Linked DNA regions of Cricetulus griseus. The protein of the gene in region 2 interacts with the protein of the main gene of each other region in a pairwise test. Links are inferred from orthologs where the notes say so. Each region holds a gene or a part of one and is shown on either strand. Other genes may lie near its edges.

What was found. The genes of interacting proteins can lie anywhere in the genome.
Region 1: the proteins of Per2 (region 2) and Csnk1d interact in binary tests that used the Homo sapiens proteins (3 or more experiments, as listed by UniProt). The link is inferred for Cricetulus griseus from reciprocal best matches to the Homo sapiens genes PER2 and CSNK1D.

What each region holds. Positions count from the first base shown.
Region 1 is NC_048600.1:133,470,323-133,474,442, reverse strand, and holds the start of Csnk1d (casein kinase I), read left to right. Parts: upstream 1-1,296; 5' UTR 1,297-1,607; coding exon 1,608-1,683; intron 1,684-4,120. UniProt on the Homo sapiens protein: Essential serine/threonine-protein kinase that regulates diverse cellular growth and survival processes including Wnt signaling, DNA repair and circadian rhythms. It can phosphorylate a large number of proteins.
Region 2 is NC_048595.1:442,946,388-442,950,030, reverse strand, and holds part of Per2 (period circadian protein homolog 2), read left to right. Parts: intron 1-685; coding exon 686-1,491; intron 1,492-2,822; coding exon 2,823-3,009; intron 3,010-3,643. UniProt on the Homo sapiens protein: Transcriptional repressor which forms a core component of the circadian clock.

The DNA of each region.
Region 1 (4,120 bases), on a different chromosome or scaffold from region 2:
TTCTGTCAGTGAGGTTATTTTTACTAGTGTGGTCAAGTCTGGCTCTGACTCCTGGACTGAGAAGCTGAGCAGTTCCCAACTACCCACCACTCAGGGGCCACTGGTTTGTTTGCCTTCTGGTGTCTTCTGTCTCCAGCCATGCTGTGTAATGCTCCCCCCTGTCGTGACTGCCAGCTATGTACAGGTAGGTACTACAGCACCACCAAAAGGAAGGTGGTGGAGCCAGGAGAGTAGAAGAGCTATGAGCTCCATGTGTTCCTGCAGGGCAATTGCTGGACCGCTTTTCTCGCCCACCAGCCAGGAGTTGCTCTGAGGTGTCACCTGTGCTCCAGACCCCTGTGCACAGAGTGGTGTGGATGCTAGCTGTCCAAATATGAACATTAAATTGATCTGTGGCTCTGTGTTTCTAGCTGGATGGGGTGGGCCGGCCTAGAGAGCCATCTACTTGGGAAGCTGGACCCTAGTTTGGGTGCACCTCCTGTGTGGTGGCTTCTCCAAAGGCCTCCCCAGTGGTCAGAATGGACAGCCAAGTCTTGGGAGCTGGCTATTAGCCTGGACTTCAGAATTCATGTTTGCATTTTCCGGGCAGAATATTCAAATCCAATACAGACCAGAAAAAAAATGTTGACATACATGGTCTCCAGGCAGCTGGCACTGGAGAGAGACCCGGGCCTGGGACACACACTCTACACCCTCAGTGAATTCATCATTTACCTTCTGCCCACCGTGGGTCCTAGGAAGACACTCTTCTTCCATCCTTGATGTGCAAGAAGGTGGCAGGCAGTGGCAGGCCACAACTACACATGTTCTGCAGCCCTCAAAGCCCAGGACTGACTGGTGGCTCCTAGAAAACAGTCTATTTGTGACCCCAGAGCCGTTCCTGGAGCTCCCTCTCTGCCCCGTTCCCCGACCTGCAAAGGGCAGCACTTTAGGGCCTTCCCCAGGCTGTGCAAAATCTTCCCCATCATGTTATTTTGGTCTATTTAGTGGTGTGTTCAGGGGCAGGGTCTCTGCAGCCCCAGTGTGGCCTCGAACTCAATGATCCTCCTGACTCATCATCCCAAGGGCTGGAACTACAAGACGTTCTCTACCACGCACGGTTTAGCTTCCTCAGATTTCTGTTGGACACAAACGGAGAGACCACAGAGACTAGACGTAGTCGTCCTGCGGCAGCGGTGGACAGTGGGACAGAGGAAACCGTTCTGGTTGCGACTGCGCAAGCCGTCAAGTATCCAAACCCCGCCCCCGAGCGCCGTGGCCCCGCCCCTCTGGGTTGCTAGGGGAAGTGACGTCACAGCGCGATGGCGGCGGCTCCTTTAGGCAGCTGAAGGGGGATTTAGGCCCGGAAGATCCGAGTCCATCCGCGGCGGGGAGAGGGTGAGCGGGGCCGGCAGGGGCCGGAGCAGCGGCGGCGGTGCTCGGACTGTCCCATCCGCCCCGTATTGAGGCGCTGAGAGCGACGGGGCAACCAGAAAGCGATGGTGAAAGCGGGGCCGTGAGGGGGGCGGAGCCGGACCGGACCCGCAGTAGCGGCAGCAGCGGCGCCGCCTCCCGGAGCACAGACCCAGGAAGCGGCCGGGCGGGCAGCAGCGAGCCGCACCGCCGCCATGGAGCTGAGGGTCGGGAACAGGTACCGGCTGGGCCGCAAGATCGGCAGCGGCTCCTTCGGAGACATCTATCTCGGTGAGGCCCGGCGCCGTCGAGCAGCCCGGAGCCGTGCGGGCCGGCGGGCGGGGTCCCCGGCAGGCCGAGGCCTGCGTCAGGCCGTAGTGGACACTCGGCCGCTCGGCATCCCCGCACTCCGAGGGCCGGGCTACCGGCCGCGGCCTACATCAACGGCCGCTGGCCGAGCGCGGCCGGGGGCTGGGCGCGGCGGGCTGGGGGGGCGGGGAGGGGCTGGGGCACCGGGGAGGGGGCAGCTGGGCTTTGGGGGCTGCAGGACCGTGGGGGTCGAGATCCGAGCGAGCCCGGGAGTGGCCGGGGCCCCGGGAGACGAAGAGCGGCGTCTGGGGGCGGGCGGGGGGCGGCGGGCTTCGGGAGACGTGGTGGGGTGTCGGAGGGCGTGGGAAAGGACGGCGGGCTCGGGCGGGGGGCCGTGTTGGAGCTCGTCCAGGGGGCAGCGGGGCGGGGGAGGCGGCGGGCTGGGGGTGGGGCCCTAAGGGGGCAGGGCCCGGGCTGCGGGGCCCCAGAGGCGTCAGCATCCTCCCCCACCTAAGGTCACCGCAGTAAACAAAGGCCACGCTCTGCTCCTCGCTCGCTCGGAGGGTCTGGTACTTACTGCCCCTCGCCCCTGCGGGGTGATCCTGGGTGTTTTGATGTGTGTGTGGGGGGGAGAAACGTCAAAACAATCCGAATGGAGCGTGGAGGTGGGGAGTGTCCCAGCCCGAAATGGGGAAATGACGGGCTGGCTTCTAAGGGTTCTTGTGGCTGTCTGAGCCTGCCCTTTTCCACAACGCTGTTTCCAGTTTAGCTGACCTGCCGAACGGATCGTCCACCTTACGCCAAAACAGGACTGAAGATGTCCCCTTTGAGCTCGGTCAGCTCCTGGCCCTTTGGCCGTGGGTCCTCAGTATATGTTGAGCATCTTAAGTTGACTACTGGACACTCGGATGTCAGTGGGGATGAAGCTTTGATTAATGCTGGCACAATCTTGTCCATGTGGAGAGGTTGGCAGAGCAGAGCAGAGGGAAGTGGTGTGAAAGTTCTCATCCCTTGACTCTCAGAATTCACAAGGTAGACTTGAAAATCCAGACTTAGGATTCGACTGCCCTGGGTTAGCTCAAACTTAACAGTGAAGACTGTGTGTGTGTGTGTGTGTGTGTGTGTGTGTGTGTGTGTGTGTGTGTGTGTGTGTGTGTGTGTGTGTGTGTTTGTGTGTGTGTGTGTGCGCATGTATGTAATTACAGGCTTGCTTAAACCCACTTGTTGGGAATTTTAAAATGAACATTTTTACCCCCGTGTCTCCTAGTGGAATTGTAAGTCATTCCAAAACCCCTGAACTTCTGGTGATGAGCATCCTGAAGATGGTTGCCTGTTAGAGGCAAACATGCTCTGCTGAGTAGCCCGGTCTTCTGCGTTTGTGTGGCAGTTGTACCTGTAGTGCAGAGTCAGGAAGAAGCAGTGCTTTGGGCCTTGCCTTTCAGGCTACCCAAGTTCAAGACCTTCCTACTGTGACTCCTAGGACCTTGACAGCTGGCAGTGTGGGGTGGACAACTGGCCTGTGTGGGTAGTTCATAGGTATTTATGGTCCCTGGTTAGCGTGTAAGGTAACCCTGCTCTGTGCCACCACACGAGTGCTTTGAACCTGTACTTCTTGCCATAGTGGCCTGATGAGTAAATATGTTTTAGAGATACTTGGGGTTTGCTTATTTAAATATTTATGATCAAGTAGTCAGCCAGATGCCTTCTCGGCAGTGTTTGGGAGTCAGAGTGCTGGGTAAATGGGAGATGTTTGGCTTATTTATAGAACAATAGATCTTGGCAGGATATAGGAGCTATACTGAAAAGGCAATCCATTAGCCACCCTTTCATGGGCACCAGAAAATAGGTATTCTGAAACTTTTTGTTCCCTGAGATTTTGCCAAGCAGTTTTGTACTTTGTGAAGATTGATCCTAACAACCAAATTGTGATGTGGAGTCACATGCCATTCAGAGAGGTAAACTCTTCTCTGGGAAGGGTGCAGGCTCTGTCTGGGGATGCAGCTTACTCAGTCACATCTTTTCAGACCTGCCTGGTTCCTGCAGCCTCATGTCCCAACCAGAGCAGTGGGACTTGAGGGAAGGGCTGAGAGGCTGCCTTGAACCAGTGCATACACATCCTGCCCAGGATCTTCTACAGGCATGTGGGTGGTGGCCCATCTGATCATGTGAGGTAACTTTTTCCAGGAGTTCCATTTTGATGACTTTTGATGTGAGGTGGATTGCTGGGATCCTAGGGGTCAGAGTCCCTGGCTTACCTGTCTATCATGGTGTGTGGGGTTTTCGGTTGTTGTGTTTTGTTTTAAGACAGGATCTCACCATGCAGCCCTGGCTGGCCTTAGACTCAGAGATCTGCCTGCCTCTGCTGTGTGCCACTGTGCTGGGGCCCGGTTGTGCCTCTTGTGTGGGATTAAATACTGCC
Region 2 (3,643 bases):
AGTTTTGGGCAGAGAAACTTCCAGTGAGGTCTGTGGGTACAGAGATATGAATTTGGAGGTCAGTTTGCTACTATATATAATTAGCAAAACAATAATAATAGGTTTACTCCTGGGACCTATGACCTCACCAACATGGGTTCTTGGCCAGACTTGCAGTATCAGGCATGCCTTTCCTCCTGTGGAGGGGACCTTAAATTGAGTCAGAAAGTGGTATTGGTTGCCCATAACATCCATGCCAGTGTTGCACCCAAGGGCATTTCTTGTCACACTTGTGATTATTGTAGTTCATGGATAGATTGGACTGTTGTTGGTAACTTTACCCCTCAGCAACCCACATAGCAACTAGGCAGCAGTGAGGATACTTCCTGGTCCATCTCAACTTAACTTCTCCTTGGACACAGGACCTTTAAGGTGCTTATGAGACAGGGCACAGGACTTGGAGGAGAAGAGAGGAATACAGCTTTGTAACTAAAGATGCACCTTCAAGTTGATGGAATTCAATTTTATGAAAAACCTACCTCAGGTCCTCTCACTGGCTATGGAATGAGAAAAACCGAGTGTTGTTTCTAGGCTGTGAAACTCAGAGGTGCTGTCAGGTGTCTGGCATTTACACTTGCTGTGAGTTGACATAGTACGGCTTGCAGCTACTTTTCAGTTTTCACCCTGATTGTTTTTCCACATTTAGCTACCCCAGGACTAAGAAATACTTCCGGAATAGAGTCATCTTGGAAAAAAACTGGAAAGAACAGAAAACTGAAGTCCAAGCGTGTCAAGACTCAGGACTCTTCTGAGAGCACAGGATCTGGAGGACCTGTGTCCCACCGTCCTCCCCTCGTGGGCCTGAATGCCACAGCCTGGTCACCCTCTGACACATCCCAGTCCAGTTGCCCCTCTGCACCCTTCCCTGCCTCAGTGCCAGCTTACCCTCTGCCTGTGTTCCAGGCACCTGGAATAGTGTCTACACCAGGGACTGTGGGGGCACCACCTGCACCTGCCCACCCCGGCTTCACCATGCCTGTTGTGCCTATGGGCACCCACCCCGAGTTTGCAGTGCAGCCCCTGACATTTGCTGCCCCCTTGACTCCAGTCATGGCCTTCATGCTACCCAGCTACCCTTTCCCACCAGCAACCCCAAACCTGCCTCAGGCCTTCTTCCCCAGCCAGCCCCCCTTTCCAGCCCACCCCACACTTGCCTCTGAAGTAGCTCCTGCCTCCCAGGCTGAGTTCCCCAGTCGGACCTCGGTGCTCAGACAGTCATGCACTTGTCCAGCCACCCCTCCAGCAGGCACCGTGGCCTCAGGCAGGGCCTCTCCACCACTCTTCCAGTCCCGAGGCAGCAGTCCCCTGCAGCTTAACCTGCTTCAGCTAGAGGAGGCACCTGAGAGCAGCATTGGAGCCCCAGGGACCTTGGGGACCACAGGGACAGCAGCTTCTGGTCTGGACTGCACGGCTGGCACGTCTCGAGATCGGCAGCCAAAGGCACCTCCAACAGTAAGGATTCTGTGCTGTGCCTCCTTCCTTTCAGGCAGTAGGCTGAACCACATGGTGGTCAGCACATACCCTCATGTGAGAGAAGGTTCTGGATTGGGTGCTTCCTGCCAGCGTAGAGGCCTGGATTCAAGCTACAGTGTCTTTTCAAGAACATGCCATTTATGGTTATGAGGCCCTACCATAAAACATTATTTGGAGCTCAGTAGGAAGCACATGAGGATAACAGATAATGCCGATGAGGGGACCAGGAATAGTGTGTAACTTTGGGGCCTCACATTTCTAATGAGTCTTTTTGTTTGTTTGTTTTTGTTTTTTTGAGACAGGGTTTCTCTGTGTAGCTTTGGAGGCTATCCTGGAACTCACACTGTAGACCAGGCTGGCCTCAAACTCACAGAGATCCTCCTGCCTCTGCCTCCTGAGTGCCGAGGTTAAAAGCGTGCGCCACCAATGCCCAGCTTCTAATGAGTCTTAAAACTCTTTTGTTTGTTTGTTTTTTCCTTGAGACAGTCTTATTCTATCCCTGACTGGCCTGGAACTTGCTATGTAGACCAGGTTGGCTTCAAACTCAGAGATCTGTCTGCTTCTGCTCTCAGCGCTGGGATTAAAGCCATGCCCTTGTGTGGCTAGCCTTCAAAGTTTAATGAAGCCCAGCATGGGGAGAAGGGACAGGCTCCAGCCTGCAGTGGCCAGGAGCCTGCCTGGTGGAGTACAGGTCCCCGAGGCTCACGAAGATGAGGGGGGTTTCTGCTTTTGGCTTGGAAGCCAATAATCCCTGGTGTGGTAAGGGCTCTTTTCCAGTTAATGTTTTCTGAGAGAGCAAGCTATGTGGTCGCAGCAGCCTGAGTCAGCCCCATGCACCAGGTGGCAGGAGCTTTCAGGAAATGGCGGCTGCCTTTGTAAGGTGTTGGGCTGCTGTTCAGAAAGTGGGACCGTATTCGTGGGCAGTGGTTCTCTCAGAGCCTGTCTGCTCTCTAAGGCCCCAGGACCCACTGGGGCTCAGAGCCTCACTTATGGGGTGGCTCGATACTCAGGAGGCTGAGGAGCATCTTGGCACATTTGCACTGAGTGCAAGCCCTGCCGTCTGCTGTGACTCTCCCAAAGTCACATTTTATTGGGTAGTATCATAGAGTATCAGCGACCCTCTCCCCACACTCCCATAAGTGCAAAATCTGCTCACCTGATAGGTAAAGGCTTGTGCTCCGTGGCTGATCTTTGCACAAAAGCCACCCAGTGCGCTCCCTGGGCTCCACCCCACCATATTGTGTGTTGTGTGCTATGTTGTCCCTAAGCCCCTATGATTGAGCATCAGTGTCTTTTTCCTGTCCCTAAAGTGCAACGAGCCCTCTGACACCCAGAACAGTGATGCCATCTCCACATCCAGTGACCTGCTCAACCTCCTGCTGGGTGAGGATCTCTGCTCAGCCACGGGGTCAGCACTGTCTAGAAGCGGAGCCTCTGCCACTTCAGATTCTCTGGGCTCCAGCTCACTAGGCTGTGATGCATCCCGAAGTGGGGCAGGTATGTTTGTGCTGAGGGCCCAGTGTGTGTTAGGCAGTGTGGGTTTGGGTTGTGTCTAGAATGTTCTGTCCCTGGCCATTCTGCATGGATGCAGCTCTGTCTGCCCTACTTAGCACAGCAGGCAGGCCCTAGCCATCAGAATTCATGGTTCTATCTGTTAGCTTCCAATTTCTGTGTCAGTGAAGACATTATATCTGTGCCAGCCCTTGTTGGACCAGTAGGTGGGTTCCCTGGGCATTGGTTCAACCTCCTGAGTTGGCTTCACATGTACAAACACAACAAACCATCCAACACCTACTGGCAAGGATCTTCCACCTGTGCCCTCAAGACCCCAGGGGCAAACTGTACATGGCCACGCTCAAAATCCTGACGCTTTTTCTGCCATAAAGTGAGCTTTCCCTAACCTGCTCATAGGCTTGTCTACCCAGGGGCAACATCTGGGCATGAATAGGCCAGCAGCTCCCCTCTTAGGGATCTTCTGTGAGTCTAAAGACAGAGTCTAAAGAACTTAGGACAAAGGTCAGGGATTCAAAACAAGGCCCTGCCTGAGCTCAGCTTTGCCGCAGGTGAGAATCACCTCCCCAGTGCTGGCACGTATCCTGTGTTCGAATTATTCAGATTATTAAGATTGGGA